Linked DNA regions of Drosophila melanogaster. The protein of the gene in region 4 interacts with the protein of the main gene of each other region in a pairwise test. Each region holds a gene or a part of one and is shown on either strand. Other genes may lie near its edges.

Evidence for each region.
Region 1: the proteins of Grx5 (region 4) and CG9133 interact in a two-hybrid assay, tested with the Drosophila melanogaster proteins (one large-scale study listed by BioGRID).
Region 2: the proteins of Grx5 (region 4) and CG33191 interact in a two-hybrid assay, tested with the Drosophila melanogaster proteins (one large-scale study listed by BioGRID).
Region 3: the proteins of Grx5 (region 4) and sage interact in a two-hybrid assay, tested with the Drosophila melanogaster proteins (one large-scale study listed by BioGRID).

What each region holds. Positions count from the first base shown.
Region 1 is NT_037436.4:1,247,909-1,257,811, forward strand, and holds CG9133 (uncharacterized protein), read left to right. Parts: upstream 1-4,103; 5' UTR 4,104-4,258; coding exon of another isoform or gene 4,259-5,324; intron 5,325-5,395; coding exon of another isoform or gene 5,396-5,815; intron 5,816-5,944; exon of another isoform or gene 5,945-6,085; intron 6,086-6,167; coding exon of another isoform or gene 6,168-6,235; 5' UTR 6,236-6,316; coding exon 6,317-6,416; exon of another isoform or gene 6,417-6,458; coding exon of another isoform or gene 6,459-6,489; coding exon 6,490-7,136; intron 7,137-7,579; coding exon 7,580-7,831; 3' UTR 7,832-8,078; downstream 8,079-9,903. Other genes in the region: Sac1 phosphatase, read left to right, coding at 383-2,161; Bfc (booster for Crq), read left to right, coding at 2,969-3,724; CG9130 (uncharacterized protein), read left to right, coding at 4,259-5,324, 5,396-5,815, 6,168-6,235; tfc (triforce), read left to right, coding at 9,254-9,452.
Region 2 is NT_033777.3:8,775,546-8,782,978, forward strand, and holds CG33191 (uncharacterized protein), read right to left. Parts: upstream 4,379-7,433; 5' UTR 4,292-4,378; coding exon 2,861-4,291; 3' UTR 2,834-2,860; downstream 1-2,833. Other genes in the region: Pif1B (PFTAIRE-interacting factor 1B), read right to left, coding at 1-2,382; Pif1A (PFTAIRE-interacting factor 1A), read right to left, coding at 2,382-2,396, 6,741-6,839, 6,897-7,433; CG33189 (uncharacterized protein), read right to left, coding at 4,654-5,187.
Region 3 is NT_033777.3:9,259,202-9,266,444, reverse strand, and holds sage (salivary gland-expressed bHLH), read left to right. Parts: upstream 1-2,302; 5' UTR 2,303-2,702; coding exon 2,703-3,370; intron 3,371-3,431; coding exon 3,432-3,570; 3' UTR 3,571-3,791; downstream 3,792-7,243. Other genes in the region: TrpRS (Tryptophanyl-tRNA synthetase), read left to right, coding at 1-327, 386-965, 1,037-1,141; ATP6AP2 (ATPase H+ transporting accessory protein 2), read right to left, coding at 4,273-4,839, 5,102-5,454, 5,678-5,720; Ibf1 (insulator binding factor 1), read right to left, coding at 6,195-6,434, 6,489-6,677, 6,742-6,813, 7,104-7,191.
Region 4 is NC_004354.4:14,835,816-14,842,599, reverse strand, and holds Grx5 (glutaredoxin 5), read left to right. Parts: upstream 1-4,401; 5' UTR 4,402-4,497; coding exon 4,498-4,786; intron 4,787-4,846; coding exon 4,847-5,037; 3' UTR 5,038-5,129; downstream 5,130-6,784. Other genes in the region: Flo2 (flotillin 2), read right to left, coding at 1,581-1,629; CG32590 (uncharacterized protein), read left to right, coding at 3,565-3,782, 3,839-4,172; CG14410 (uncharacterized protein), read right to left, coding at 5,270-5,875.

The DNA.
Region 1 (9,903 bases), on a different chromosome or scaffold from region 4:
TAGATTGGTGCAACTGCGGGAGTGGAGTACCACATGCAAGTAAGTGGGTGTGAACATCTTAAAGTATCGAATATATTAGCTATTCGCTATTCGGCTATTTAGCCAACTGGTCCATCCCTATCACACACGTAGTGGCAAAGAGTTGGCCCAAAAATCAGATGAACTGCAATTTGTGTGTTAAATCAATAAAGAACGAGTAACCTCCTGATTGTGTGGCTGATTTTGGTGCTGTGCGTGTGTGACAGCGGTGATAGCGACAGTGAATCCCCGATTACAGGAAGTGAGCAGAGAAAGAGGAAGCAGCACTGGCTATAGCTATTAACCCTTATCCCATTTTTAACCCTTAGTCTTCGAAGTGGGCCAGCCACCGCCCCCGGAAATCATGGACAGCAGGGAGGAGAACGCCGTGTACGATGACATGAACCTGTACATCGCACCGCAGAGCTTCATCATCGAGCCGAATGGAGGAGATGAGTTGCTGGTCATCGGGCGCCACGACAAAGTCACCAGGGTTCAGCCAGCGAGCGGAGGTCTTGTGGCCAACCTTCGCCCCACCAGGAGGATTTGTGGTGTGCTGGGAACCATTCACCTACTGAGCTGCGACTACCTTCTGGTGGCGACCCACCGCCTCTTCGTGGGCGTGCTCAATGGCGCAGTTGTGTGGAGATTAGCGGGCTATGACATCATACCTTACATTCCGAATTCCTTCCAGCGCAAGGAGAACGAAAACTACTTGCGACTGCTACGCCAGACACTTGACACCAAGTTCTTTTACTTCTCCTACCGCTACGACCTTACCAATTCGCTGCAGCGACAGCGGGAGGTGGCACAATCGCGGCCTGAAGTATCCGGGTTGCTCCAGCGCGCTGAGCAGCGATTCGTTTGGAATGGCTATGTGCTGCGGCAGTTCAACTGCGATAAGATGGAGAAGTTCCAGCTGCCACTCGTCCTGGGCTTCGTGTCTATCAACCAGGTGCAGATCAACGGGCAGACATTCTTCTGGAGCATCATCACCAGGCGTTCCGTGCAGCGGGCGGGCACACGGCTCTTCTGCCGAGGCAGCGACGAGCAGGGCCATGTTGCGAACTTCGTAGAGACCGAGCAAATAGTGGAGTTCAACGGGCAGCTGACTGGATTCGTGCAGACACGAGGCAGCATGCCCTTCCACTGGCACCAGCTGCCCAATTTGCGCTATAAGCCACGACCCGTTCTGGTGCCGGGCAAGGATCATTTGGCCGCCTGCGGGCTCCACTTTAAGGAACAGATCCGGCTGTATGGCAACAATGTGGCTGTGAATCTAGTGGATCACAAAGGTGCCGAAGGCGAGCTCGAGGCGACCTATGCCCGCCTGGTTCGAGAAATGGGAAATCCACAAGTGCGATACGAGTCTTTCGACTTCCACAGCGAGTGCCGTAAGATGCGCTGGGACCGGCTGAACATACTCATCGATCGCCTCGCCCATGAGCAGGATCAGTTCGGTGTCTATCATGTCTTCGACGACGGCAAATTGGTGTCCACGCAGACTGGTGTCTTCCGAACGAATTGTATCGACTGTCTCGATAGGACGAACGTCGTGCAGAGCATGCTGGCCCGCAGGTCCCTCACTGCGGTGCTCCAGAAGCTGGGAGTGCTTCATGTGGGCCAGAAAGTGGAACATGCCTCCGACATTTTCGAGAGCATTTTCAAGGGCGTGTGGGCGGACAACGCGGATCTGGTGTCGCTACAATATTCCGGAACGTGTGCGCTCAAGACCGACTTCACCAGGACGGGCAAGAGGACCAAGTCTGGTGCCATGCAGGACGGCAAGAACTCGCTGATGCGCTACTATCTGAACAACTTCGCCGATGGCCAGCGGCAAGACAGCATCGATCTTTTCCTTGGAAAGTATCTGGTCAACGACAACGAGGGCGGTGCCGTGCCATCGCCGCTGGAGTCGAAGCATGGCTGGCGGTTCTTCACCTTCCCCTCGGTGCTGCTTGTGGCTGTGGCCATGTTCATGATCACGATGACCTATCCGGCCGAGTTTAACACGGAGAACCTGCTGTTCATGCTCTTCTGGGGCGCAATGATCGCTGTCAGTGCCACGGGCATCCTGCACTACGGCGTCGAGTTCGTGCAGTGGCCGCGGCTTTTTCCGCCCATCTCCTTTCGAGACCCATGACGTTAGTGTCGTCTAGCAGAGTCACTGGGAACTACCTCTGCAGCTAAACTGTCCCATTGCTCCGAGAAAGAACAATTGTAAACCAATTCTGTAATCGATTCGACTTCCTCTCAATTTCTGTTTTGTTTTATTCTGTTTTTGTTTAGTCTTAAAGCCCCCCCCAGTCCATTCCCTTCTGCAACTTGTTAGTCATTATATACACAGATCACTTACACTTAGGCGAGCTTCAGGCGGCTGGAAAAGGGGAATGATTGGGGTTTCGATCGGGAAGAAGTGGAGTTGTGAAGGCGCCGCTTATTAACTGCGATTAACTGCAATGTAGATCAATCACTTTTGTAGAACCATTTAATGACATTAAATAAAGTATTTTACGCATTGCTAGAAAACCTCAGACCGGCGTCTTTCTATCTACTTGTGGAGGTGAAATGTAATTAATGATATGGGTATATGGCGTTTATGACAACCATAAAAGATGGCCAGTAAAGGTTAAGAGTACAGGTTACCCAGAGGGTGTTAATCATATAAAGAATGTCATTGTTGATATTTTAGTAGGAATGCAGAGCTCTTAGCTTTTTATTTATATATTTTGAATCGTAGGCAGGCCTTTTACATTCAGTCGCATAGATCCATTTCGAAAATCAGTCTTTCCTTTTCGGCACGTCGTCAAAATCTGAATTCAAAATTCAACATATTTATTTTTCGTCAAAATTAGGTTTCAGTGACTGAAAATTTCTAAAAACGTTTTCAACACATAACAAATTCTTTGGTATAGTAATTTTGTCAAATTTCTAGTTTTTAAGCTTTTATATGAGAATGGACAAGTCGGAGAAACGCTCTAATCTTGCTGATAACTTCCTGTATATGTTGGAGTTCATGGTGGACGATCTGCTGATCACTCGTCCCAACCTCTGCGCTCCGGAGGAGTATCCCACTTGCACGGAGATCACGTTCCGTTCGGTTTTCCTGAACATCCGCGATCGGGAGAACGGAAGCTGTGTCAACCCCTGTTCGCCCAAGTGCGGCAAGTGCACCCTCTTCACGCTGGAATCGCCGATCACGGACGAGGACGTGATGCACATTCACGTTTACAAGAAGCGCACGGAGAGCTGCAAGTTCCTGCTCGGGCTGACCGAGCTGCCGATGAAGCCGATCTTCGATAGGGTGAAGAAGGAGTTCTATTCACAGAACATAAACTGGGAGAGTAACGTCGAGTCCCATTTGTCGCGAATGCCCAAGCTGAGGGGCCCCTGCAAGAAGGCCAATGACTGTGTGTGCTACGAGAGGAATAGGGAGCGGCGCGAACAGTGGTGTCCCACCTCAGAGCTGACCAAGCGGATGCTGCCGCTCTTCAACCTCTGCAAAATGCAGACGGGCAATATAGTGCTGATCCTGAGACTGGTGTGCAATGGGCCCTCTGTGGTATCCTCCTTCCCCGTCCAGAGACCAGTGTGCAAGGATCCCTGCAACTGTTGCTGTCCTTGCCCGCCCACTTGGCCTGCTCCCTGTTCGTCGCCATTCGATCCCTGCGATCCTTGCAAGACCGTGCCAGCCAAGAAGACATGAGTAGGAAATGCAGCTGCGAGCCTTTATATTCCGTACTCATTTAGTTGCCATAAGCATTTTTATTGTTTGACAAGGGATGCGCCTAGCAACTGATAATCATTCGCATATCTTAACTATAAATAAAGTATTTGAATAATTTTTATACCAATTCTGGTGTTTCAGTGACTTGAGGAGGCTATTGTCCATTATAATATAATTTAATATTAAAATTTATATATATGTTAGAAATAAGACCTTACTAGGCATTTTAGGCGTAATAAAATCTACATACAGACAGACTCATCTGCCTAAAAGACAATCTTAATATCGAAAATCAAGGAATCAAGTTTTCAAAATTCATCCGATTCCAGTAGCCCTCGCAAATCCAGTCGGTTTAGCAGTTCGAACACCACAGTCTCCCCGTCTGGACGGCCATTCAAAATCAGAATCTAAATTCAAATTTACTCACAAAATTTTTGGAAGTGCGAGTGTTCGGGCATATAAATTTCTAGTTTCGACAAAACAAAAGCCTAGCCAAAATTATTTCCTTTGAAAATGGACAAGTCTGATAAAACTGAGAAAACTGAGAAATCCGATAAGTCTGAGAAGCCAGAGAAACCTCCCAAGATTGCAGGAAACTTCCTCTACATGTTCGAGTTCGTAGTGGACGATCTGCTGATCACACGCCAGAATCTTTGCGCTCCGGAGGAGTATCCAACCTGCACAGAGATCACGTTCCGCTCGTCGGTTTACGTGAATCTCTGCGATCGGGAGGTGGGCACGTGTGTTAACCCCTGTTCGCCCAAGTGCGGCAAGTGCGCCCTCTTCACTCTGGACTCCCCCATTACGGACAAGGATGTGCTGCAGGTGCATGTCTATAAGAAGCGCACGGAGAGCTGCAAGTTCCTGATAGGACTGTCGGAGCTAAAGGTGAAGCCCATCTTCGACAGGGTGAAGGAGTCCTTTGACATCGAGAATCCTGACTGGGAAGACGCCATGCTGGGGCACATCGCCCAGCTGCCCAAGATGAAGGGTCCCACCAGCAAGGGCCTCCTGGACAACTGTGCCTGCTACGAGAAGCTGAACGAACGTCACGAGCAGTGGTGTCCCACATCGGAGTTGTCCAAGCGACTGCTGCCCCTCTTCAATCTCTGCAAGATGCAGACTGGCAACATAGTGCTGATCCTTAGATTGGTGTGCAATGGTCCGACCATTGTGTCCACGTTCCCCTTCAGCAAGGTCTGCTCCCGCAATCCCAAGTGCCCGGAGCCCTGCTGCGGTCCTTGTGGCCCCTGTGGTCCCTGCGGCCCCTGCCCACCACCTCCCAGCTGCGGCTCGTGCCCACCGCCTCCTAGCTGTGGCCCACCATGTCCTCCACCCTGCGACCCCTGCGATCCGTGCGATCCCTGCAGTCCCTGCTGTGGCGGCGGAACTGCCACCGGCGGGCCCATGGATAAGAAGGGCTGCAAGGGCTCGTGTGCCCAGCCTCCTTGTCGTCGCTGTACAATGGTGGATCCTTGTGCCAAGCGAGTTGAGCCTCCGGCAAAGTGCCTCAGGTACTACTCGTGCAATCTGGACAAGCTCTGTCCCTGTGACTACTGCGAGGACGAGTTCGATAGAGGTGACTATAATCTATCATCAGCATATATAAATGCTTCCTTTTAATGATGTAATGTATATACTTCTTCCCAGAATGCCCCACTGTTCCCACAAAGCGTTGCAATCTCTCGCCGATCGAACAAAAGCTGCAGAAATGCGGTCCCTGCGGCGGAATTCCACCGTACCCACGCTTCATCCAGGAGAAGATGCAGGCCGAGCTCTTGAACAAACCGGAAAAGGATCCCAAGAAGGACAAGGATGGCAAAAAGGGTGGCAAGGATGGAAAGGACGCAAAGGATGGAAAGGGTGGCAAGGACGACAAGGGCAAGAAGAAGCGTCAGGCTGGAGGTGCTGTTTGCCGCGTAGGAGACGAGAATAGTCCGTCCGCCGTCTACGAAGACTGCGATCCTGTCTGCGCAGGAGTCCTCCAGGCGACCAAGAAAATTCGGTACAAGGAGCCCACTGTCAGGTGCAACGGACGGGAGGAGGAGTACGAAATGGCCTGTGATGAAGGTGAGCTCATATATGTATGTATTTAGAAAACGATTTCAACTGGGATTTCGAGAATGCCAAGTAGGCTTCGAAATGAACAACAACACAAACGTCTCGTAACTCCAGCGAAACATTTAGTAACATCTAGTAGTCGGGGTGTAGAAGATCACTCGTTTAGCATTTGTTTTATACATTCGAACGGGAAATGTTGTCTGCCGCACAAAATACAGAAAAATAAAATCTTTCGTTGTTGTTACCCGAGTTTTGGATGGAAATTAAAACAGAGAATCAGTACGTCCGAACTATTTTTTTTCCTATCAAGTTAAAAAATTTTCGAAGCGATCCACTAACCCAAATTCAATTTTCATTTCAGCGCGAAAACGAGCTGTGCGGAAATTGCGCCACTTACTGGTGAAGTACAATATCCAAATTGAGAATTGAAGGCTTTCGGAATTGAGATTTCAGCTTGAGCCTAGTGAATAATTGTATTGACTTACACACTCAATCACTCAACCGCACAACATGGCCAAGAAGAGGGGAAGAAAGGGCAAGAAGGGCAAGAAGCCAAAGGTCGACTGCAAGTTCAAGATCACCAATGAGATGCTCAAGCCCATGAACGAGAGTAAGTACACGCGGATCCCTGCACCGAAGCTCGGGCTTAAGGATGATTCATCCCTTCCAATTGGTATCCTCAGATGTGGACGACTGTGATGGCTGCTGTCAGTGCGCCTGCGATTGCGACTGCAGTCCGGAGTTGGCTCCCTGCTTCATCCAGCCGACCAAGCCGGATCCGGGTCCGGAGGCGTACGACGAGTTCGAGGCCTGCCTCAATGGCAGCGGTCTGACCATACGCGTACTCAAGAACACCCACAAGGTGGAGAGCGTGATGGATGGCAGCGAGACTGCGCCCAATCTGGGCGCAGGCGATGATCCCTGCTATCGCGATGACCCCAATGACTGCGAGCCCGCAAAGGAGTCCTGCCTGCACGATATGCTCCAGCGCAGCTCCTTCGCTCGCAACCACATCAAGCGCCGGACCGGCGGCCGCATCATCAACCACCCGAACATCCCCAAGGTGCGAGCCAATATCAAGTACTCTGGGAACGATGCCTGCGAGACCGACAACTACTACGTGCCCTTCTCGAAGATCAAGGAGGCCTGCGACTTCCAGGAGGCCAAGGTCGACTGCTACCGCCAGCGACTCTGCGGCGGATCCGATCCCATCGTGCCCGCGCACTGTCCCGTCCAGAACCAGCGATCATGTTGCATGCAGGTCGAGCGGAAGGACATCATGGACACCATGAAGGGTGTCAATTTGGACACAAGGCGCAAGGGTATCGAGGTGAGTCCATCCTATATTCATTTGCGCAGCACTGAGTGGCCTAAGGAAATCCATATTTCAAGAATGTTCGATCTTAAATCATTAACCACAATCGCCGATCGCCTCCGCATTCCATTTTTTAAGTTCGCCAGTTACGTGTGCGGATGCGGAATGTGGATCGATTGGTAGTCCGTGACTTTGCCCCCCTAAACGTTGTTGCAGGTGGTGCAACTATGCCACTTCTGCCACTTCGGGAAGGCTTTCGATTGCCTCAATTGTGGGGCAGTTGCGTAACATCTGCCAGCTCCAAGTGTGGAGCACTCTTTTCAGTTTGCGGTGGCAATCCGCTACAGCTTTTTTATTTATGGTAATTTCTGCGAAAGATGCAACGCGTTGCATTGAGACTATTTTGGTTAGCTGTTGCATAGTATCTAAAAAGATTTGTCGCTTTTCTTATTTTTCAGGTTTGCTACAAGACCTGCGAGGAGACCGACAGCGACGTGTTCCTAGTAAAACTGGGAAGTAAGGCCAAGTCGCAGCACAAGAAGAATACCATCGAGATCGAGCTGCGGACGCCCAAGCAGCCCGTAACCCTTCCGATCAGCAAGGTGACCACGGAGACCTATGTTTCCGAGGAGATGCTAACCGGTGGCAAGAAGGGGAAGAAGGGCAAGAAGGGCAAGGGCAAGAAGGGCAAGGGCAAGAAGAAGAAGTAGACCAAGAGATCCGTAGGCGGATCCCATTCCCATCGACCGGACTTGACGCTTACCCTTTCGGAACACATCCTTTGGCATTTTGGAAGCGACTCTTTGAAAATTCACAGCAGCAATTATTGAAATTTGGCTCTGGTACTAACCCATTCATATTAACCCGTCCAGTAAGATGCACGAACACTCACTTTTTCGACTAGTTACGTAAATGTATGCTTTTGATTGAATTAAAATTAAGAAAAAAAAAAACAATAATTCTAGTCCCATTTATGATTAGTTGATCTGATCCCTCACTGATTGATCTGATGTAGATACCCTAACCCGCAGTAATCTGCTTGCAAGTGTATATGCCCATCTTCATTAAGGGCACTTAACTGCCCAGTCAAGGCCGCGGAGGTGTTTCATCTGCAATTGAGGCGGGTCTAAAAATAGCCGACAAAACCAATTCGCGATGCAGAACTCTGATGCCGATCCGATCCGATCCGACCATCTTCATCTATTGCACACCTGTAATTAAAAGCCAGAAATCTTCGCGGGAGGGAGCATCGAGGAGGAGGAAAAGCCGCCGTTGGATGCAGCGGCAGCTTAGCGGTTTGGTCACTTTGCAGTGACTATACTATACGGAGAGGGAGAGATCCGAGAGACCAGAGATCGCAGATCGGGCCAGCTGACCGATCCGATCGGTGGCTCGGAGAGGAGTCGAGCGAGGAACTCGTTTTAGTCGCGTTCAAACGCTTTAGTCTGTAAGTTAACACGGCGAGTGCGAACGCAGGAAAGAGTCGAGAAATCGTGAAGCAGTGCCCCAGCCTAGATGTTAACCATTCAGCGGATCGGCCCCGAATGTGAGCAACTTCTGAGATCGGTCCACGACAGACCACAAAACCAGTGAGGAGAGACCATCCGCTCCAGTTCGCTCGATCCAATTCAATTTCTGCCTCTCGCCGCGAAAGCGGAAAGAAAGTGAATTGAGTGGAGTAGATTTGGGCGATTACTTAATCCGCGTTCGCCTCCACGACCAGGCATCGGACGAACACCGGGCTCCCAGTCCGAATTCGAGGGCGCAAATTAATGGCCCTCGTTTAGAGACTCAACCCGCCCCATCCAGCGTTGACAGTTGGGCGGAGAAAAGCATAGTATTTGAATATTAAAAACTAAATCCGAGAGATACCACAACATTTCCCCAAAACTTTGATAATTTAGAAAGCGAAGCTGCATACCAAATAGGCCCCCGATCTAGAGACACCCGAAAGTCCAACCTCCGACGGTCAGTTGGCTTTCAGTTCCAGCTCGAGATCGCAGGTTATAGCATACCACAGCCGACTGGCTTTCCCCGGTTTTCGGTTACGTGCATCCGAGAGGTCTCCGCCAAGTGCAGTTGCAACTTTTACTGGTGTCTAAGATTCGCGTGAAGAGTGCAAATCGGTGATCATGATCCGCCCCACACTTATCGTAGTGCTCATCTCACTGGCCAGTGTCGATTCCGGCCACAACTCACCCGTGACCACCATCCCGGTGGCCGAGCCCATCAGCCAGGTGCCCCACGGCTTCCAACTCGGCCAAAACAATCACATCAGCAGCAGCAGCAACATTAGCCGGAGTGGAGGCGGAAATGGCCGTGATAAGAGAGGTAAGTACTTGGCCCCTTTGAGCCACTTTTCCAAGTGCCCCCATTGTGGCCATCCGTGTCAGGGTCGGAGCCTCTCGGTCTCTGTGATGGACATCTTCGAGGGGCCCTCTCGATTGGTTCGCAAATACTAACGATTGCTCTTGGCCGCACTGCTTTGAATCGAGCCTTTTCCTAATGTGGTCGATGTTGGTGGGCATTTCAAGGGTTCTGCGCTTAAGGAATGCCCCGTCAATCACGCGATTAAAAACATAAGTAACATATGAAGTTCTATGCAAAAATGCATTCGCCAAGGTTTATTTTGAAAATCTTTCAAATCGAGTTATTTGTTATTAATAGTACAGATCATAATAGAATTCATAATGAAAGAGAATCGGATTTGCATAAAATATCTCCACACATTTATCGCTACTTTTTCTGCATAATACTTAAAATTCGCTAGCTCATCGTGCGA
Region 2 (7,433 bases), on a different chromosome or scaffold from region 4:
ACCACCACACAGACCACAATCCTTAAGAGCTTTTCGCAAAAGCTGCTCGCAGAGGTTCCTCATATCGGGTGACAGAGGTCCTTCGGGCAATAGCCCAGTACGTGGACCCCGGGGCGCCGGGCTAGGTGACTCCTTTTGCGCACAGGGATCTAAGTTGTAGGGGAAGGCTGCCCAGTCTGTTTGCTGTGTGGTCCAAGGAGGACAGGACACCATGCCAGCAAATGGACACTCAATCTGTTCTGGTTTCTCCTCTTCTTCCGGTGACGCCACGGTTGTGGGTCTCTCACAGATTTCCCTTAGTACTGTGCTAGGAGTTTTTTCTTCTACCTCCTCGCCTTCCTTATTGGCCTCCTCCGCAAGAATTTCTTGCAGTTCCTTGTCGATGAATGCTTTAAGAGATTGGCAGAGATCCGGCTCCGTGGTTGCTTTACCATCATCCTTACTTTCGAACTTTTTTACTTCCTCGTCATCCTCACAATCACGAAAGAAGTCATCATCCAAGCCATCACCCGAACAGGTTAGTGCATTTCCAATGTCAAAGAATTGTTCCGGGCACTGACAAGGTTGCATGTTGTCATTTTCCTTGGGAGATTTTGGCTCAGGTTCTGGTGGAAAGTCCGGATCTAGTTCAAAAGCATAGATATCGGTCTCAGGAATCTGAGGTTCTGCCGGCGGCAGGAAGCACTTGCAGAGGTATTCCTCCAGTTGATGAAAGCACTCGACTCGTTGGAGCTCTCTCTTTGACGGGGGTTTTTCGACTGGATCGCCTTCCCCATTGCCAGCATGTTGGGCCGTACAGCACTCATCGAAGGTTAGGCACGGTGGGCTAGCTTCATCCGCTGGTGCAACTGCATCATCTTTTTCTGATCTCAGGAGTAGTGTTAGTTCCCGGAAAAGTTGTTGGGTCAGGCAGGGGCGAGATATACCGCAATCGCAACCAGGACTGGTCAGTTTCTCCATCAGCATCAGGATGCGTTCCTTACGAGAACAGCAGGCCATAGCCCTATTTCCACAAAGATCCTCTGGTGTCTGATAGCCGGTACCCGCTTGGGCACTTTGCATCCCCTGAAGCTCGTCATTCGAAGAGCACTGGCACTGCTTGCTGACACACGTAGCCTTTTCGGGTTCCTTCGGAGGATCTGCATCGTCGTTGCACAGGCAACTACCCCCGGAAAGACTCCTGTGCGTATGAAGACTGGTCTGGATGGGATCGGACAGTTCGGAGAAGTTATCAGAAGCATCACAGTCACAAAATTCCTCCTGACCCTTAACGCTCACTTTCCTAGAACGGAAAGAGGTACTGGGGTCGCCTTGAGAGTTCTGACAATCGGTGAACTGGGCAAACCCGGATGGATGGTGTATTCTTGTGGAGGGGCATGGCGCAATCTGGATCTCATTTGGGCATTCCCGATCGGCCAGGCTCGACACAAAGGCCTTGGTGGGTTGATGCTCCGATGCGCATAGGCAGGTGACCTGACCCACAATCGATTGGGATCGTGTGGTTGCTGAGGTCTCATCGCCTGGCCCAAAGGAGGGTTGATTGCGCGGGTTTGGCGCCCTGAAATTACTTGATTTGGATGTCATACTGCGATAATTGGGATGGCTCTGAGGAAGTGAACTCATAGAAGGATCCTGATTAGTCTGGGTAGCGTTGCAGGTACATGCAGGACGTTCGTCCTCTTTGGAAGAGCAACATGTACTCTCCGGATCCTTTAAAGCCGACAACCAAGTGACGCCACTCTGAGTTGGCGGATTAGATTTACTAGGCAGACTGGCCAAACTCTTGGATCGACCAAAGCTGCCTTTTGATGCTCCGGGTCTATGCAAGGGAGCGAGAGTGCTTGAGGAGGGGTCCATTGCTCTACTGTAGGATGGTCCGGTTACCAAGTTGCTTTGACCAGCCCAGTATGGTGGGTGGGCGCCACAAGTGCAGGGATCGAGGAGCTCCTTGGTACACGCTGTTATAGCACTCTTGAATGAGGAAGCCTTCTCTGGTTCCGTAACCGATGTTTTCTGGGAGCAGGGCTTCCTCGAACTGGATTTCTCCTGATGACCCAGTCCACATGGACTTGGATCGGTGTTGCATGCACAGGTGTGAGCTTTAACCGCTGGTGGATCGGCGGACTTGGACCTCTTTGCGGTGCATGAGCAGGACGCCCCATCATCTGGATTAGCCTTCGATTCCGGGTTCTTAGGCGTGTGGTGTTTCTGCAGAAAGGAGACCGCCGTCTGCGATGGCTTGTCATGAGGGTCTACACGATCAGATTGTTGCGACTGTTGGGATTTTGACGGCTTCCAGTGGTCTCTCATGTGGGATGCCTCGGTTTGTTGATGGCGGGAGTTGGGGTCGCTGTCGGAATGTCGCTCATGCTGCATGTACATCAGAGCCGGGCATTCTGTGGATGAAATGTTTGGGATAAAATAAATATCTAACAAGGATTTTATACATCAATTCAGGTAAAATAAGAATCTGTTAATAGCCGGCCTTCTGTAACCCTTCAAAAATTCTTGGCTACTTCAGGTTTCTTGCAAACATCTTGACTTGCACGATATTCCGAAACATTGAGCCTTAGCCGCTTACATAAGGTAAACGACATAAGTATGCCTTAAAAAATCAAATCCGTAAACAGGATTTAAAATGTGGGAAATTTCAATAAAGAGAAGTGATTACAATTGACATATAATAGAAGAAAACTGATCAGCAGGAAAGTTAGCACGCTTACGATATTGTGGCGGCTAAGGCTCGAAAATTCGAGCACTCTTAACCGATACCGAACCGATTCCTAAAACCGTTTCAACTCGATTCCCCGGCTAGAACACACATAATTCGATTCGATTTGATTCGGTGAGCAAACACATTTTATTCGATTGGATGGCTCGTGGGTACGAGCAGTTCCTTGATCTCATTGAGTTGGATCTCGCGACCCCGCGTGATTTCCGGACGGGACCACATTTCAGCGTGGTACAATTCTAAGAACTTGGCCTCCGCCTTTTCGCGGCACGGACAAAAATCGAAGTAGGAGGTCTGGCTGCAGACCTCCCGATCCTCGAACTTAGTGAAGATGGTGCCGCGCTGTACGCATCGGCAAACCTTGACATTGGTGTGCTGCTGGTTTGGGGCAAAGGAGCGTTGCTTCCACGGACACATGCAGCAGCCACAGTTGCCGGGACAAAACACATTGCCTTCCTCGTCCATAATAGGACTGGGATCGAAACGGCACGGCGAACAGTTGGAGAACTCCTTGTTTTGAGGCAGGGCAAGGTAGTACCGCTTGCTTCCCGGCGATCTTTCCGGCGGCGGCGGTCCCATTTCTTCTTCCGGCTGCGGTCCTAACATCTCCTGCTCGCTAGACAAGAGCTCATCGGATTCATCCGACTCGGTGATCGGGTGTTCCGGCTCTGGAGCATAGATTATCAAGTGCTCCTTCGGGGCCGTTGGTTCTATCTCCACCAACGGTTCTTCAATTGGCAGTGGCTCAGGCACTGGGGTAAGAGTGAGCTCTGATTCGATATCCGGCAAGGTCAGGCAGGAGATTGAGATGACCTCCCGTGCCCCCGGGTCGTGCCAGCGGCAACATGTGGCCGGAGTGCAACGGTTACACTGAGATGTTGAATCCCCACAGCTTCCTATGTATACCGAACTGGCGGACCCTTCGGCTAGCTGTTGCGATGCACATGGACGAAAGTGTTTGCTGGCGGATTTACCTGAGCTGGGCTTTGGAGCCCTTGGACCGGAACGCATATACTGCTGCGAGCGGCACTGGCAGATGGACTCTTTGCGATGCCTGGTGACCGGTTGTTTCTTTTGCTGACACTTGACCATCTTGCCGCTCTGCGGATTGAACTCCAGCGGCATCTGGACGGTGACGGGCTTTCCGTGCAACGGACAACCAGCGCGACCCTTCTTGGGGTCCACCAACCGAGCGGTCAACTCCAGGGTGACGGCACATGGCTGATTCCAACCACCTGACTTGTCAAAATTCTTGAGTAGCATCTGTGTGGCATTGGCCGCCCGTTCCAGGGCATCCCGTATCGCAGCCGGATCATCGAACTTGCACCGGCTGGTGGCACTACGGCCCTCCTTTGGCGAGTCCTCACCCGGACCTTGACAGTCGTAAAATAAGTCCTGTTCGCTGCGCGTCTGCTGGAAGTTTTCGCCTACGAAAAGCAGTCGGGTGGAGTCCAATCCGCGACTCAATGTCATGGAGCTCTGGTTAACGAAATGACTCCGGGAGTAGTCACTCCGAGCGATGCTTGGATCGATGGGCTGATTAGAGAATTCCTCGTCCATCACGCTTAAAGAGCTTGAACTGTTTTCCCCAAATCAAGCTCTGAACTCACATTAAATTTTAAAGTGTGTGTTGCCTGCTCGATTGTGTCTAAAATACTGATACCAAATGGAGCACAATAGTGACAGTATTGAAAACGTGACCTCACTGGCCTGCTAGTAACTCCTATGAATTTTCGATTTTCCTACGCTGTTCTATGTGTGGTGTAGCCAAAGCAAAGCGAAAATTTATAAAGATACCCAACATACCCAGCAATTACCAGTGAAAAAAATGCATTTCCCAAACATAATCCAATTTAGTCACCAATGAATTTTGAGAAAAAACAACTAAGTGAGCAAGACGTGGCTCTTGATAAGTTTAAAATTTACGTGTTTTGATTAGGTTCCTGGCAATCGGGACACACTTCATCCTTGTTGGACCACTTTACACTCGATCTTCTGCTCTTCGACTTGTTCTGATTTCCAGGTGCATTGCATCCACAAAATGTGCCAATTGACTTGGGCTGGAAGATGTTGACTTTGACCTGGCCGCTTTCCGGATTCAGTTCGATTGGCAGCCTCAGGGTCACTGGGTCGCCGATTAACTTGCACTGCCTGTCCTTGGGGCAAGGACACTTGTCGTCCGTATGTAGACGGGCACTGACCTCCAGGGTGGCCGGATAGAAAAGTGTCATCAAAGGACGAGTTGGCACGGAATCAGTGCCTCCGTAGCACCTTAGCAACCGCTGGGTGGCAGTGGCTGCCCGCTCCAAAACGGCCCGAATCTGGACAGGATCGTCAAATCGAGGCGCTTGCTTGCAGATCACTTCATCACCACCGCCCACTTCCAGATCTGGAGTCTCCTCGTCGTCACTGCGGCAGTCATAAAAGATGTCTAAGTCCTCAAACTCGCCAATCATAATGCTCAACGTTTAAACAATTTGGATTAATCTGATGCCGTTACGAATCTGCCGATAAAACAGTCTACTCTATACAAAGACAATAATCTCAGAGAACTATTGATGTTGAATTATAATGTTCCTGGTTAGCTTCCTATAATTAGATCTAATCTGAAGATCTTATACACGGCAACCTTCAAGGAGACCGAAATAAGGGTCAGTCACTTGGTAATTTACATTTATGTTTGGTGTATTTACATAGAAATAAAGCTCTATTTCTTAGCTCTGAACAAGGTGGAATTGCTCCTCTCCACGGGAATGTAGACAGTGCAGCAGAACTCCGATTCCGCCTTGTGGTTATGGAAGAGCAGAAGTCTTGTGTGGATTCGCTGCTCGATTTGTTGCAAAAGCGCCGAAGATGCAGGCTTAAGGGCCAACTTTAGGTTATGGACACAGTCCAGAGCAGCCACAAATCCTTCATAGCTCTCCTGCGTCTTCTGAGTACTCTTTTCAATCCACATGTCTTGCAAAAATTCAAGATGCTCACGGAAATCCTCTCCGCCCTCCCATAAGTGAAGAAGACGGGTCCGGAATGCGGCAACATCGAGGTATCCGTCCACGGCGCCCTGAATCAAATCCACGAAGCACCTGGTTCTCAGAGGCATCAGGAGCAGTCGTTGCTCCACACCCACATCGACCTGTGTTCCACACTCAATCGTCTCTGGTTGAACTTGCATCTCCTTTTCATTGCACTGTGTCGTGACCTGAACCTCCTCCTCCAGGGTTTTCACCTCGTCCGTTTGTACAAATGACACGCTGGCCAGAGATTCCCAATTAAGATTAACAACTTCAGCGTGAAGGGAGTGCAGGGAAATTCCGGATCTGGCCGAGTGAACCGAGTGAACTGACAACAGAGAGTGGAAACTACTGCAGGAGAGGCTCTTTTGAAGAGGGAAACCCAGAGTTCGATTGAGCGTACGTGGACGGTAAATGTGACGGAAGAGGAAACGCTGTATTTTTCGCTGGTGACTGTTTGGTCTTGGATGCTTCTCCTTCTTATTCTTTGCTCGCTTTTTGCTTTTCTTTTTGAGCTCGGGTTCGTGCTGCTGATCCACAGAACAAACCTCGTTGAACATCTGTCTCATGGAATAGGGCACCGCGGTGATCTTCTTCTCTTGCTCATCTGTTGGTCGAATTATCTGCGGATTCGCCCTGCTGTCTGATTCACCAAGGTGTAGTTCAGATTTTTGGGCAGATCCCCCAGCTAATTCCCGTACTATTGACCGGCATGAGGATGTCACGACACTAACATAACTAGATTTCTTGCTGCTAACGAGATTTCTTTCTTGACTTTCCAGATATTCTGAATCGACTTGACTTTCTAGACTTCCCGGATTTTCTTGAATGACCTGATTATCTTGAGTTTCTTGATTTCCCTGGCATTCTAGACTAGTCACAGTTGATAGTCCTGTCTCAGGTATTTTTTCTGAGGAGGCATCCTGGACCGTAGCCCAACTGGAGCCTTCGGGTTCCGAACCAGCTGGCTTGGCGGGCTCTTTGCTTTGGAGACTCACCTCGGACGGACTCTGTGAGAGAAGGGTATCCGCCAGTTGCTTTACACTGCAGGCAATTGCTTGGAAGTCCTTGTGCAGTGGTAGACCAAAATCACGACCCTGTAATGATAAGGTGCTGTAAGGTTTCAGTAAAATTCTAAATACTACCAGACCTACCTCGAGATCGAGTAGGGCCACGCCCAGTCCCTGGCTGGCAGCCTGGAGGCTCGGTACCTCATCCTTCTTGGCCCGCTTCGCAGGACTATCATGGAGTTCATCGGCCAGGCTGTAGCCCTCGGGCATAACGCCCAGTTTGCGTTCCAAGAGCTGGCATTGTTCGTCCTTGGTTCGCAGCTCGTCCTCCAGGCAGCGCGCCCGCTCCTCCGAATCCCTCATTTGGTTCTCCATCTGGCGGATTTTGTTCTCCAGCGTGCCCACCTCCTCTTTCAGCTCGCCATTTGTGACCTCGATGTGCAGGTAATCCTTTTTGATGTTGAAGATCTGGGTGCGCAAAGCATCCGTCTCCTGCCTCAACTGATCCTCGGTGTTCTGCTGCACCTTCTTGGCAAAGATAAGGTCATCCATCAGTGCCTGGGTTTTGCGCCTCTCGTTTTCTAGAGCCTCTGTTAGGGGCATCTTGTGTTCCGCCTCCTTTTCCATTTTGGCCATTAGACTCTCCAAGCTGCACTGCAGAGTGCGATTCTCGGTGAGCAG
Region 3 (7,243 bases), on a different chromosome or scaffold from region 4:
AAGGGGCATGTTCTTCTCGCACCGGGATCTTCATACGATTCTAACACTGCGCGAACAGGGCAAACCCTTCTATTTGTACACTGGTCGCGGTCCCAGTTCCGGATCCCTGCACGTGGGCCACCTGGTGCCCTTCATCATGACCAAGTGGCTGCAGGAGACCTTTGATGTGCCGCTGGTTATTCAATTGACCGACGACGAGAAGACCTTGTGGAAGGATCTGAAAGTGGAGGATGCCATCAAGCTTGGACGTGAAAACGCCAAGGATATTGTGGCCATTGGATTCGATGTCAACAAGACGTTCATTTTTAATAACCTGGAATTCGTGGGGTAAGTAAATTAAAAAACTTTTAACCTGTATAATCTGTATTATCTATATTACTTACAGAAAATGTCCTGCCATGTATCAGAACATCATTCGCATCCAGAAGTGCGTTACCTTCAATCAGGTCAAGGGCATCTTTGGCTTCGGGGACTCAGACATCATTGGCAAGATTGGTTTCCCAGCCGCTCAAGCAGCTCCCGCGATTTCCAGCACCTTCCCCTTCATCTTCGGCAACAGGAAGGTGCACTGCCTCATCCCGTGCGCCATCGATCAGGACCCATATTTCCGCATGACTCGCGATGTGGCTCCACGTCTTGGTTTTCCCAAATGCGCGCTCATCCATTCGACCTTCTTCCCGGCGCTGCAGGGTGCCAAGACGAAGATGTCGGCTAGCGACCAGAACTCGGCTGTTTATCTGACGGACACGCCCAAGCAGATTAAGAACAAGATCAACAAGTACGCCTTCTCCGGAGGACGCGTATCTGTGGAGGAGCACCGCAAGCTGGGCGGAGTTCCGGAAGTTGATGTCTCCTATCAGCTGTTGAAGTTCTTCCTGGAGGACGATGCCAAGTTGGAGGAGGTGAGAGTGGCTTACAGCAAAGGCGAAATGCTTACGGGCGAGATCAAGAAGCTGGCAGTTGAGGTAAGTGCAATGATGATGCTACAATCTTCCCAAAAAACATTGTAATTAATGTGCTCAAATGATCTTCTTAGACGCTCACACCCATTGTGGAACAGCATCAGGCCGCCCGCAAGCTGATTACGGACGAAGTGCTGGACAAGTACTTCGAACTACGACCCCTGAAGTTCGGAAGTTAGAACGGTAGCCGAATTGAGGTACCTGCATTTGCTTGACATCGATTCTTACTACCAGTTTATATGAAATTAGCTTAAATCGAACTAAGCGATATTAGTTTAGCACCGAACCGACTAAGGCACTTCTATGTAAATAGCTATACAGAATTGATCTATGCCTTGGCTCTGAGTCCGTGTGGCGCCCACTTAATGCATCGTTGTACTCGCTATTTATTTTATTTTTTACACAGCGTGTTTATTTTTATAAAGCAGAAAACAATAAACTTCGGCTTCGATTTGCAATTGCCACCACAGTGACCCACATTTGGGAAGTTGTTAGCAAGTCTATACATTTTCCTGGAAACCCGAAACGTTCAGCCAAGGAGAGAAACAAGTCAACTCTCTAGGTTTCCCTAGAAACTACACTCTGCTCATATTCATTTCCGATTCCGGGCAAAGGTGCCTCTCTGGTTAGCCAGCTAGCAAAATAACTCTCGACTTCGGAAAAATGTAAGTAATTTTCTCACTTCTAGTTGTGTGTTGTTTTTTTTTTCTGGTAACCCGAGATCTTGCACATGAATTGAATTTCGCGGGCTATCAGTAGATATTCTTCTAGTTTTTTCCTTGCGGTTTATAGTTTCAGGAATTCTGAATTTTCGGAAGAAAAAAATAATTTGCTAGTTAATTACTATTAATTAAAGAAGATATGTAGTAATAATGGAAACTGTGCTCAATATCTCAGTCTTTTAAGCAAGTATCTATTTCAATTAAGAAAAATCATAAAAATAGGTATAGAATATGTAATATAATTTTTAATAGGATTATAAGAGCACTTAGCTGGCGATCACGGTTTTTCATTGACTAGAGAGAAACCAAATTAGTTTGAAATTAGAATTGGGCGAAGTTTGGAGCTAGATTGGCCAAGCTTAGGTTTCTTACCTTCATATAGACGAACCTATATTCATAACTAGCTATATGCATATGTGTGTATTTTTTAATTAAGTCAAAACACTTGTGTTTACATGCGTCGAAAATACACTCTTTCATATGGGCTGAGTTCCAGTGTGGGTGTTTGTACATAGCGACGATCAAAAAGAAAAACTCAAACTGAAGTTGTGGCGACGATCGTCGATCGCTGATCCCAGAGAGGGATCCGACATAAGTCGGACGCAACTCCAGCCTGCCACACGCGCCTCGATCACCATTCGCAGCCGTCGGAGTCGGATCGATCGGACAATAGCGAGGAAATTAAGCCGCTTTGTTTGCACAGCGATTGGATGGGACAAAAGGACCCTCGACGACAAGTTGGTCCCCTATAGATCACCTGTTGACACACGTACAAAGCGGTGGCCTCTTAAACTAGACGAGATGTGGCCCTCATCAACCCCGGATGAGTAGTCACGTCTCGAATCGATGGATCGATGGTGAGCCATTCATCACGATCGCCAGAGTCGTCTCTAATGCAACTAAAAGTAAGCAAAACAAAAAGGTACAAGCTAAAAAAAAAAAAACCAACCGAGTCCAGGTAAACCTGCTGCAGTCCGGCCAGAACTCTTGATCGGTCATTCGAAAAGCGGCTTAAGCGATGACGGATCAACTGCTGAGCTCCACGGCCGGCGTACCGGGTGATCCACCGCCAGTTTTGGTGCCCGTATCAGCCACCACCGGTGGACCCTATTTGAGCGGTGGATCCGAGGGCGAGGCGGAATCATCGGAACAGCCCGTTCTTCTAGAGCTCGGTGCCCCTCAATCGTCCAGTTGTCCGGCAGTTAGTCTCAACTACACCCTAACCGCGGATGGAGCAGGCTTGCTGGCATATGCGCCAACTCATCCGCATAGCTACTCACCCAGCGTGATGGGTGGCTACGAGAAGGAAGCGCACAATATGGGTCTGTTGCCACCCACATATAGCGTTATACCTCAGCCGGTGTCGATGTGGCATGCTGGCCAGGTGGCCACCGGTTCGCCAGTGGGCTTGGAATGCAACAAACCCAGTGAGCTGGTACCTCCGCCCATGTATATGAGCTATAGCGGCGGTAGTATAGCCAATAGCACTGAGGTGGACATCGCCAAAGAGCACAATCCCGCCTGGCGGGAGAAGGCGCTGCAAATGGAGAAGGACTATAGACGCACCGCCTGCGATCGGGAAAGAACCAGGATGCGGGACATGAACCGAGCCTTTGACTTACTGCGCTCCAAGCTACCCATATCCAAGCCAAATGGGAAAAAGTACTCCAAAATCGAGAGTTTGAGGTAAGTGAAAGTATCTGCGGTAGAGCTCTGTAATATATTTATATGATCTTTGCCTACCCAGGATTGCCATCAACTACATTAATCACCTGCAGGCCATGCTGCGGGAGAGCTCCGTGGGTCAAAATGGCAATGGATGCTGTGCCTGGAGCGGCGGAAGTAGTTCACCTTATGATAATGGCAACGATCATTGGGGAGCGTAACTTGAATTAACGAATATCAAAGGGAATTCATTTAAATATTCAATTTAAAACTTGTGTTATATTATATCCGCAATTTGCCAAAGTCATTCCATGAACCTATAAAAGTTAAGGTCCATACTTTACGATTTTGAGAAGAAAAAAATTGAAATAGCTTTCATTTTATATTAGTTTATCATGTTAACCTTTTTATAAGTGCAATAATTAAATAAATTATCAAGAATACCACGTATGATTTCAATTATCATTTGCCCCAAAAACTAGATAACAAAACCAGGCGCAACTTTGTCTTTTTAGGCTATATATATTTAACTTTACTTTTCAACACTTCACATTTTGATAATTTACATATGATGAATCGTTTGAAGAACTGACTGACTTGGCGAGTATGTTGTGCATATTCGTATATATATATAAACCTAAAAAGTACAACAAAACAGGAAAATGTAACAAATTTCTATGGAATTGTTGCGACGCCCGCAACTGCATTGAAAACTGAAAAGTTTTTTAATACTTATTTATAGATAATAAAACCAACTACTGCGACAGCTGTCCGCACACACACAAACACACAATTTATCCGCTGTTGGATTGAAGTAGAAGTTGGCAAATTTCAACTTAAAAGGGGGACGAAATAACAAAGCGTAACGCAAGCTCCTCTCGCTCCTCCTGCTCCTCTCGCTTCTCAACTCCTCCTGCTCCTCCTTAGTTGTCCTTCTTGATGCGGGTAGAGGTCATGCGGTAAATGATGGAGTCCCTGCCGGGATCCATGGCAGCGATGGCGTAGCAGATAGCCAGCAGAGACAGTCCGAAGACGACCATGAACCACAGGATGATGTTGAAGATCACCGGGTAGTCGCTGCCGTAGTAGACGGCCAGGTTGTAGGGATTGGTGGTGGAAGCGGCAATGGTATCACGCTTGGCACGCGATGCTGCCACGTCCTTCTCCGTGGTCTGGACAAACAGAACCGAGTCGCTGGACTTCTGGGAGGCAGCAAGCAGGCGGCTGATAGCGGCCGACAGCAATTTGTTGGCCTCCTCCACGGCCACGGACTTCTCGCCATGAGCCTTGGCCACTCCATCGACGGAAACGCGCAGCATCAGGACATTCGAGGGCTTGGCCATCTCAGCCAGATGATCGGCGGCACTGTTGATGAATCCAACCTCCTGGAGGAACTGCTTGTCAGCGGTGTGCAGAGAGGGGTTCAGGTGCTTGGTGGGCTTGGCGGCTGGGGCCTCGAAATCACCAAAGCAGGACTTCCAGGCTTGAACCTATAAAAAATATGTGGTTAAATATACATTGGTCTCTACGTTATATGCGTAAGGGGGAAGGCACTATGATTCACTCTATAAATCATGTGATTAATTAATTTTTAAGGTTTAATAACTATCTATCATATTTGTGGGAAGTTATAGCGGATTGTAGAGAAGCTTCTTTAAACGAACTTTCAGATGAAGATCATGCTTTCTGCGGTTTGACAAATTAGCTAACTGACTAACGAAATGTGCTTTTCCCCTTTAAGACACCACTTACGCCATCGTCGAACTGCTCAAAGTTAATATCGCAGACGGGCTCGTTGGCTGCCTCCAGTTCGGCGGCCAGGGCGTTCAGAGAGGCGTCCGTTCCGGAGCCTGTCAGCTCGTAGGTCTTGACGTTGCCGGCGGTGGTCACGTGACCAATGCCCTGGACATGCACCAGAATGACGCCCTTGGCCAGGTTGAAGGGATCGTTGATGGTCAGTCCGTTCCAGTTGGTATCGCCGCTGACGGCGTTGCCCATGGAAGCGTAGAGTACATCACCCACGTAGTGGCTTTCCAGTGCATCGTTGCCCTTGAAACTGATTGCCTTGGGACGGTTCAGCACGGTGAATTCGCCAGAGGCATTGACTGCAAAATAGGAAGACGTAGCTCATAAGTTCTGTAGAATCTAACATATTCGTCTCCTTTGTCCAAGATTCTGCGCATGCATGTGGGGAGCCCTTTGGAGTCCCGAGTTCTGGGTGTCACCACCCCCAAAGAGGAATCGATGAGTACAGAATATCCACTTTGTGACCGCTTTCCACTTGCTGCGCATGCATTTTACTTGATTATAGATGGTAGATCTACTTACTGGCCGCTATAAACAGCGAGAAAATCACGAAAACTCTCAACATTTTCAGTTTTCCGCTGGACTTTTAATCATATGACGAACGACTGCAAAGAAAACCTTTTCTCTTCCCCGATATCACCCTGACTATCATGTGATGAACAGGGTTGCTTGGGGTCAGTTATCGAATGGGTATCAGTAGGGTTGTCGAAGAGTGCGAACTATCGATTGTACTAGTATTTCTAGTTTTATTTATTATGTATTTTTATTTATTCAATAATTTTGATGTATGTAATATTTATGTATGTAAGCATTAGATTACATCGATTTTAATAACACTTGTAAGCATTGCATTATTACATTATTATTTAATAAAAAGATTCGAGTAATCAGGCTTAAAATAATGTATTTTGTAATCACCTTTACAAAGTTAAATGTAATAAATCTATGTTGAATTCAAGACAGACATTTTCGTCATCTTAACAAAAATTAAGGGTTCACCATGCGGACATTTAAAAGTTATCTATAGTTAAAATACATTTTAATCGCGTAGGGCGTCGATTTCCAATCGAAGCTTCTGAATCTTAAGCAAAGTCAGTGTGCGCTCTACTTTTAGATTGTCCGTTTCCGTTTTAAGAAACTTGGTCTTACTCTGGAACTGACTGATCTCGGCTCGCGCCTTTTCCGCTCGCAATGCAGCTAAACCATTTCTTGGCCTGGCCTCGATGATCGTCGCCGATCCATTGGCTAAGTCATCCGGGTTTTGCTGCAATATGTAATGCTGTTCGATAATCGTTAAAATGTCTAAGATACTTATCAAATTGTGAATATTTACTTCTTTGCTTTCGTCCAGGTACTCAGAGTATTCGGGATTTTTAATTTCAACGTTGGAAATTTCAAATTCCAAATTTTGCTCGCCAGACTCTTCCGTTTTGGTCAGTTTCCTTTTGCGAATTTCTCGTTTCACTCTGGGTTGCTCCTTGGGCGCCTCAGCCTCGTCAGCATCGTCCAGAATTTGTTGTATCTGGAATGAAAAATAACCATAATGTAAGTATTTGATTTAGTTTACGCATTTTTCACCTACTCACCTTAACAATGATCTCCTTGCCTTCGTTGGCATTATCCAGGCCGCCATCATCGTCGCCCGAAATCTTCTGGATCTGCATAAAAAATATATTTTAGAGCATTAGCGATATATAAGTAACATTTAATTTACATATGAATGTTCATATGAGACGATATGGGTTAGTAATTTCAAAAGTCAAATCATTAAGCACTATATATTGTATTCGGACAAAGTTCGAACCGAATATTTGTCAAATTACTTGGGGTTGACATTATAGTGTGCAAAGTATCTTTGGGATTTATTTTGAAGTGCATTTGTCCACTGACGTCCTACACCAGACATATACATACATCCAATGTATCCAAATTGGAAGCATCGAATTACCTTTATCCTAGGAGCCTCGTCATGATCCTTCTCGTCGGCAGAAGTGTACACTACAGCGCTTCTACTTCGCCGGGCATCGCAGGTTTGCCTACAATTTAATGAGAATTACTTGACGCATGTAAACACAATGTTTGGTGTAT
Region 4 (6,784 bases):
ATATGCGTGTCCATGTCCATTATGCTTTACGAGTGTTAAGCATCAAGTGGGAAAGGAAATACCCATTAAAGGATTATCGATATCCTATTAAGTGTATTATTTCATTATGGCGTTGGCAAAAAGGCAGCAAAAGTGCAGAGTAAACTCGTCTATTGGTCGCCAGTTATTGTTTGACTTGGCAAGTTAATTAAATAAAATTACCTTAACGAGTCGTGCGAGTTGCAATTGGGTTTCTTGTTTTGGGGTTGCCAACTTGATGGGCACGGGAGTCGGAGGAGGTTGCCCCTGGGGGTTGGACAGAGTGCATTAACCCATGCCCGCACAACCGCACGGGGGTTGAAAAAGTTTGGCTAGGCTCAGGAAAATGGCAACATACATGGAAAGAACATGGAATACAAAAACACACCAGGGGGTGGTTTCCCTTTTCGCTCGGGATGCTGGGGATGGTGGGTGGTATGGTGCGATGGGTACTGGGTACTGGGTACTGGGTGGTTGCATACAAGTGGTTATCACTGTCCTCGGCATCGGGGAGTTTTCTGTGCCGCCGAAGGGAGCGACTTCCGGCCCCAGGGCTGCACAATAGATAGGCAAGGTTGCACCGGAAAAAAAAATTTAGCAAATGTGATATCGATCGGTGAGAAACATTAAAATATCCCTTATGCTTTGTCGAAATGAAGGAACTATGCTATCTATCTATCTATTTTAAGTTTATAATTTCTCTTTTAATTAAGACATCAAACAATACAAGTGAATGGTTTTAGTTTAAATTCAGTTAGGTTATCAGAATGATAAGAAAGCATTTCCAATGGCTTAGGGTCAGCATGTTGATAAGAAACGACATACTATTATTATATGATTAATATGACACTTCACAGACTTATATTTTCGGGTTTTTTCATTATTATTATGTGCACAAACAACGCAATTAAGAGTGCCCATGAGATATATTTTTAATGTATGAATAAAATTTAAAGTGCATTTACATTATAAGTAATAAAGCGAAATTCAGAGTAATATAAATTGAAGTACAAAATATATAACACCAACATGCCTGAACTTTATTAGACAGGTAAGGCAACTTTTTGCGAAAAAGAAAATGTCAAAAGTGGCCTAAACAATAATAAATTTTACATATTTCAATTACTAATTCTCTTTATTTATTTGTAAATTATATGGCTTGCAGATTGAGATTTTTGCTATATTGTATTTTAATATGAATATACAGAGACCTGTAGCTTAAAGTGCCCGAGCAAAAGTGCTAGCATACTTTAAGACAGGTTTTTTCTTTCAGTGTTGTCATTATAGCGAACGAAACGAAACGCCATCGCAGATCAAAGCAAAGTCGAACGTCACTCGCAAGCGGGCAAATGCAAATGTGGATGGGAACCCTGACTGAATTCGCAATGTCCTGTCAACATGCGGTTTCCTAATTGCAGCATTTCAAAATCAGTCAACAGGCGTTTGAGCCAACAGTGGTGGCAAAAAAAAGGATTAAGCCCTTGCAGGCTGGCAGTGGGTGGGTTGGTGGGCGTTTGGTTGGTTGGTTGGTTGGTTGGTTGGTGTGAAGGGTTCCGACTCACCTGAAACAATTAACGCCTCATTGGGACCCGTCGTGTGTATGTTGCCCATCGTTGAGTCGTTCCTCGTCGCCGTCTACTTGTTGGTCTCTATTTATGTTTTATTTGTTTGCTGTTTACTCCTTTTGCCGAAAGCTCCGCTGAAAAGTTCTGCCGCAAAAACGAAACAAGAGCGCACACACGAATGTATAATTAGCACACCGGGAAAAAAAACCATCTAAATATTGCTAGCAATTTTATGGAATTTATACCGATTTTTAGTAGTTATTAGTTATTAATTAGTTATTAGTAAAAGCTTTGAAGGTTTGGTATAATATAGGAAACTTTTTATCTTGTAAAAATATTATTATTAAAATATTATTTTATGCATGTTCTTAATATTTTCTCGCTGTGTGTAAATACATTTAAAAAAACAAGATAGAAGCTTTCAATGGGCCGCCCGAAAGTATGGTACTTATTATATTTCCAGATTGCCATCAAAACACACGCGCAATTTTCTTGTTTTTATTTACATTTGGTCTCGATTCTTGTTGTACTTGAATTGCTATTCTTCTTTTTTTTTTGTTTTTGTTTTATATCGTTTTTATTAAAAGCTTTTTTTTATCTGTCTCTAGGGAGCAGCAACAACAATTAGCAATGTGCGGCAACTTGTTCTGCATATAATACCTGCTATATACAATACGTATATATATACGTATATTCTATAGTGTATCTGAACGATCGAATCGGAATGTGGTGCCTGGAATTAGGAACACTTGAGGAGTTTGGCGGGGTGGGGGGAAATGTAGAGCGGCCACTTGAAAATTGTAAACTGTGCTGGTGATTTTTATTAGTTTTATGGCGCTGCTGGGGGACTTTTGTGAGCAGCTCTCTATCAAAGTTCTAATAAAACACAAATAAGTTGCGAATAAAAAGTAGAGCAAGGGGGTGCGGCATGACGTAAGCAGCCATGTGTGCGTGTGTGTATGTGTGTGTGTGTGAGGGGGAGAGAGAGAAGGAGAGAGCGAGTACGTTAGAAGGAGAGCGAGAGATGGGGCGCGTCTTATCAATGAGCTCATCATTCTTGCACTGAGAAAAATCAGAACAAATTCCCAGCAACCACAACAACAACAAAAGAACACGGTGTGTATAAATACCAAACAACAAAAATAACCCGCACACACAGACACGCACACGCATACACACTAGAAAATTAACCCTTAGTGTGTGCGTGCATTCTGATTGGGGTGGCTGATTGGAGTTTCTAAATAAACAAAGTTTGTTATTGCCGCTTTGTTGTTGCTGTACCAATGTTTATTAGCAATTGTTTTTAGCTAGAACTCATGACTTAGACCGCGTTTAGCAAAAACCGGCTTTACACTAGATTATTCGTAAATCATCGAAATGCGAGCCGGGAAAAAAGTTTATCAGCATCCCACAGTTTGTTTTCCGTTTTTGTAGTTGTTGCTCTGCCACTGCAACTTCCAACTAGTTTTTCATTCACTCACTGGCACAGTAAAAAAAAAATTCAAAAAATATTTCGACTTTAATTGATCGCGTCGACGCAGTAAATTAATTCCTGATTTTCAATTAAAACGAATCAATTGACGAAATTTTTACCGTTCTTAAGAACCGAGTCCCTTTACGCTGGAGATGGAAAAACGCCGATTGTTTGCTTGCATCGATGCTGTCGCTTCAAAAAGTAAGATTATCGATTGTTAGCGATGTGTCGAACATCTCGACGATATTTTAACTATTTATAGTTTCAATTCGAATATATTTCAAGAAAATAAAATTAAAACGAATAATTCACTAGGTTTTTAATCAATGTTTTTATTCGCTTTCACACTTAATAATTTAACCAATAGTATTGTGCACCCCTCGTCACGTCCAGTCGATATGTATTGCATAGAATTAGCCAGTCTGGTTATCGATAACTAGTCCAACTGGAGTCTCGGATGTAAACAAAACTGAAATAAAAAACAAAAACAAGAGAGTGAATTTAACAATGTCGCGCGGCAACGAATTGGTATTCAAAGCGAAGAAAACATCAGAGAAGATATCGGAGAACATACACATATTCGCCAACGATCCATCGCTGGCGTTTTTCCGTGTGCAGGAGCACGTTCGCAAGGTTACCCCAGCGATTTTCGAGAAACGCGATGAAGTCTTTCAGCTGCAAAATAATCTCCAGGGACATTGCTATGATATGGAATACGGCATACAGTAGGATCAACTACTAAATAATAAAATAATATATAATTGAATCTATTTAACCGCAGAGCGCTGCGAACGATTGAAAAATCGGAGAGCATATTTGAGAACATCCAGGAAATGATCAAGGCTTCAATATTCCTCAAGCAGCAGCTAAAGTACGAGGAGAGCAGAAAGAAAGTGAAGAAGGATAGCACCAAATCTTCCGTCTACAAGCGATTCTCCGCCCATCTGGCACTGGATCTCCCGGATTTACCCGATTTCGGTGGCGTTATGCGGGAAACTAGCCAGCGAATGGAGAATATGATAGGTCCTGGCACGGCAACAGGACGTACTGAGGCCCAGGCCGCGACATCCAGTAATCCTGGCGAGCTCCAACGATCCTATACGACACTCCACTAGATTAAGTAGGTTCTAGCATTGTACTCATAGCTATGTATGCATTATTATTCTAAAATACATTTATTTTAATTGTAAGACATGTACTTTTATCATAACTGACTACTCCTGCTTTATAGTTTCTATAATATGCATAAAAAAAAGTATTAAAATATTATGAAAATTCTTGAAATGCTTATAATCGAAAACCGTTCGATAGTCGATAGGCCGTTCAGTCGCCACTCGAGCGAGCTATCGATACCTTTTTAGCTGACACTTGAACAGCACTTGTTTTATTAGATAATATTGCTAATATTATTATTACCTCGACCAAGTCGCTGCCGTCAAGATGAACCGAATTTGCCAGAGTCTCCGCCATCCGAGATACCAGATTCTCGCCACCACAGCACCGCAATCCCTGCTCACCCGCTTTCTTGCGGCGGATGCGGCCACCGGCGCGGCAGTGGACAAGGCGACAATGGACAAGCTGGTGCGCACCAACAAGGTGGTCGTCTTCATGAAGGGCAACCCACAGGCGCCACGCTGCGGCTTCAGCAATGCGGTGGTGCAGATTATGCGGATGCACGGTGTCCAGTACGATGCCCACGATGTGCTGCAAAACGAGTCCCTGCGACAGGGTGAGTACGCTCCACATATGCATTAGCGTGCCAGCGTTAAACCTTATTGCTTGCGTGCAGGTGTCAAGGACTACACCGACTGGCCGACCATTCCGCAGGTGTTCATCAATGGCGAATTTGTCGGCGGTTGCGACATCCTGCTGCAGATGCACCAGAGCGGCGATCTCATCGAGGAGCTCAAGAAGGCGGGCATCATTTCGGAGCTGCTGAAAGCGGAGGAGGCTAAGCAGCAGGACGACAAGGCTAAGTGATGATTCAAAAAGAGCGCCCAAAGATCAAATTCCCTTCCTAAATCTGTTAGTCACGCAACGTTTTTATTATTAAATGTTTAACTCATAACGACAATGGTGTGCGTTGTTCCGTGTGATTTAAATGGCAGCCAATGGCATATAATCGCAGGCGCTCATTTATGATTGTGATTAAGATATAGCAGGCTTTGTAAAAGTACCATTATAATGTAAGCAAGCATTCTATAGGATGAATTCAGTTGCGCGTCCTGCGCCTCTCGTCGATTTGCTGCAGGAGGCATAGGATTCGACTGCGTGCCTGCAGAGCATCGTCCACCTGCAAGAGGGAAAAGCACTGTTGTCGATGCTGCGGATTAGTCATATTCACCAGGATCTCCATCAGGTTGTCGGCTATGGAGTGGCGCATCGTTTCCTCCGATGGCATTGGTGGAATCACGCGACTTGGACGAGTTGGAGTCGATTGAGCGGGATTTCTAAGTGGCAACTGATTCCCGACGTACTGCTCTTCATTGGGATACTCATCAGTTTGCTTTTCCAGATCCTTTGGTACCTGATTTTCCATCTCAATATCTTGGTTCTCATTTAGAAGCATTTTCTGATTAATCTTTAAATATTCTGAATTGTCGAGTTTATCTGCAGTCTTTGCATCCTTTTCTGCTTTTAAAATGCGGTTGTTTGCCAGATTCTCAACTTTAACTTCCATTATTTCATGCTTTAAGTCCAAATATTTATCATTTCTTGTTGATAGCTTCTTATTTTGAGATTCATGATTCCGTTCTGTAATTATAATGATTTTCATTGTGTAATCCTTTATGTCCTTGAACGTATTTGTATTACCCATTTCGCTGAGTGTTTAATCTAGTTTCTCGTGCCAATAATAAATTATAATAATAGCATATTTATAAATTCATTATAACTTCTATGTGCTATGATTATAACTGAAAGTCCAAGCGAACTATAAAATGAAATCATAAATAAAAATCGGGAATTAAACAGTTATTTATCGAAGCTTGTAATTATGTTAACCCTTATATGGCTCCTTTTTTTTAAATTATAAAATCTTAAACTTTTTATTGAGTTACATTAAGAACCCAAAATTATTCAGAATAGCAAACACAAATCGTTTCGAAAGCCAAACTGTTAGTCAATTATTTTATCTTTTCAATTATCCAACTATCCACTTCAATTTAAAATCATAAGCTTACATATTAATGCGATTTTTTTTGCTGACTCACCCATATATATTCATAGTTCCTAATTCGTTTAATTCTCAAAAGTTGCCGCAATCAGAACACATTTTGTTGATTTTACACATTTGATTTATTTAAATATACATATCGATCAATAGTCTTTCATATATTTAGTTACATACAATATAATACATATTGATTTAATTGGTGTTTTCGTACGTTTTCGTTTTTGCGGATTTGTGTTTTGAATTCGTTTTACATCAATTGCTTGTCGTTACGTTTGTTAATCGTATTATTTACGTTTAATTTTATAATGCAGCGATGCAATGCAGTTTGGTGGTAGTAAAACGAAATAAAAAAAAACTTATACCATAACTTGCTTATTAGTTAACAATAATCAAAAGTGTTAAAAGCGATATGCCATGTATATGTGAGGAAATTGCACCTCTGTGTGTGTGTGTGTGTGTGTGTTTTTTCTTCTTCTTCTCAAATTATATTCTGTTTTTTGTGTAATACTTCGAAAGTTCAGCGTTTTGAATAAACAAGTGGAACGAGTGTGT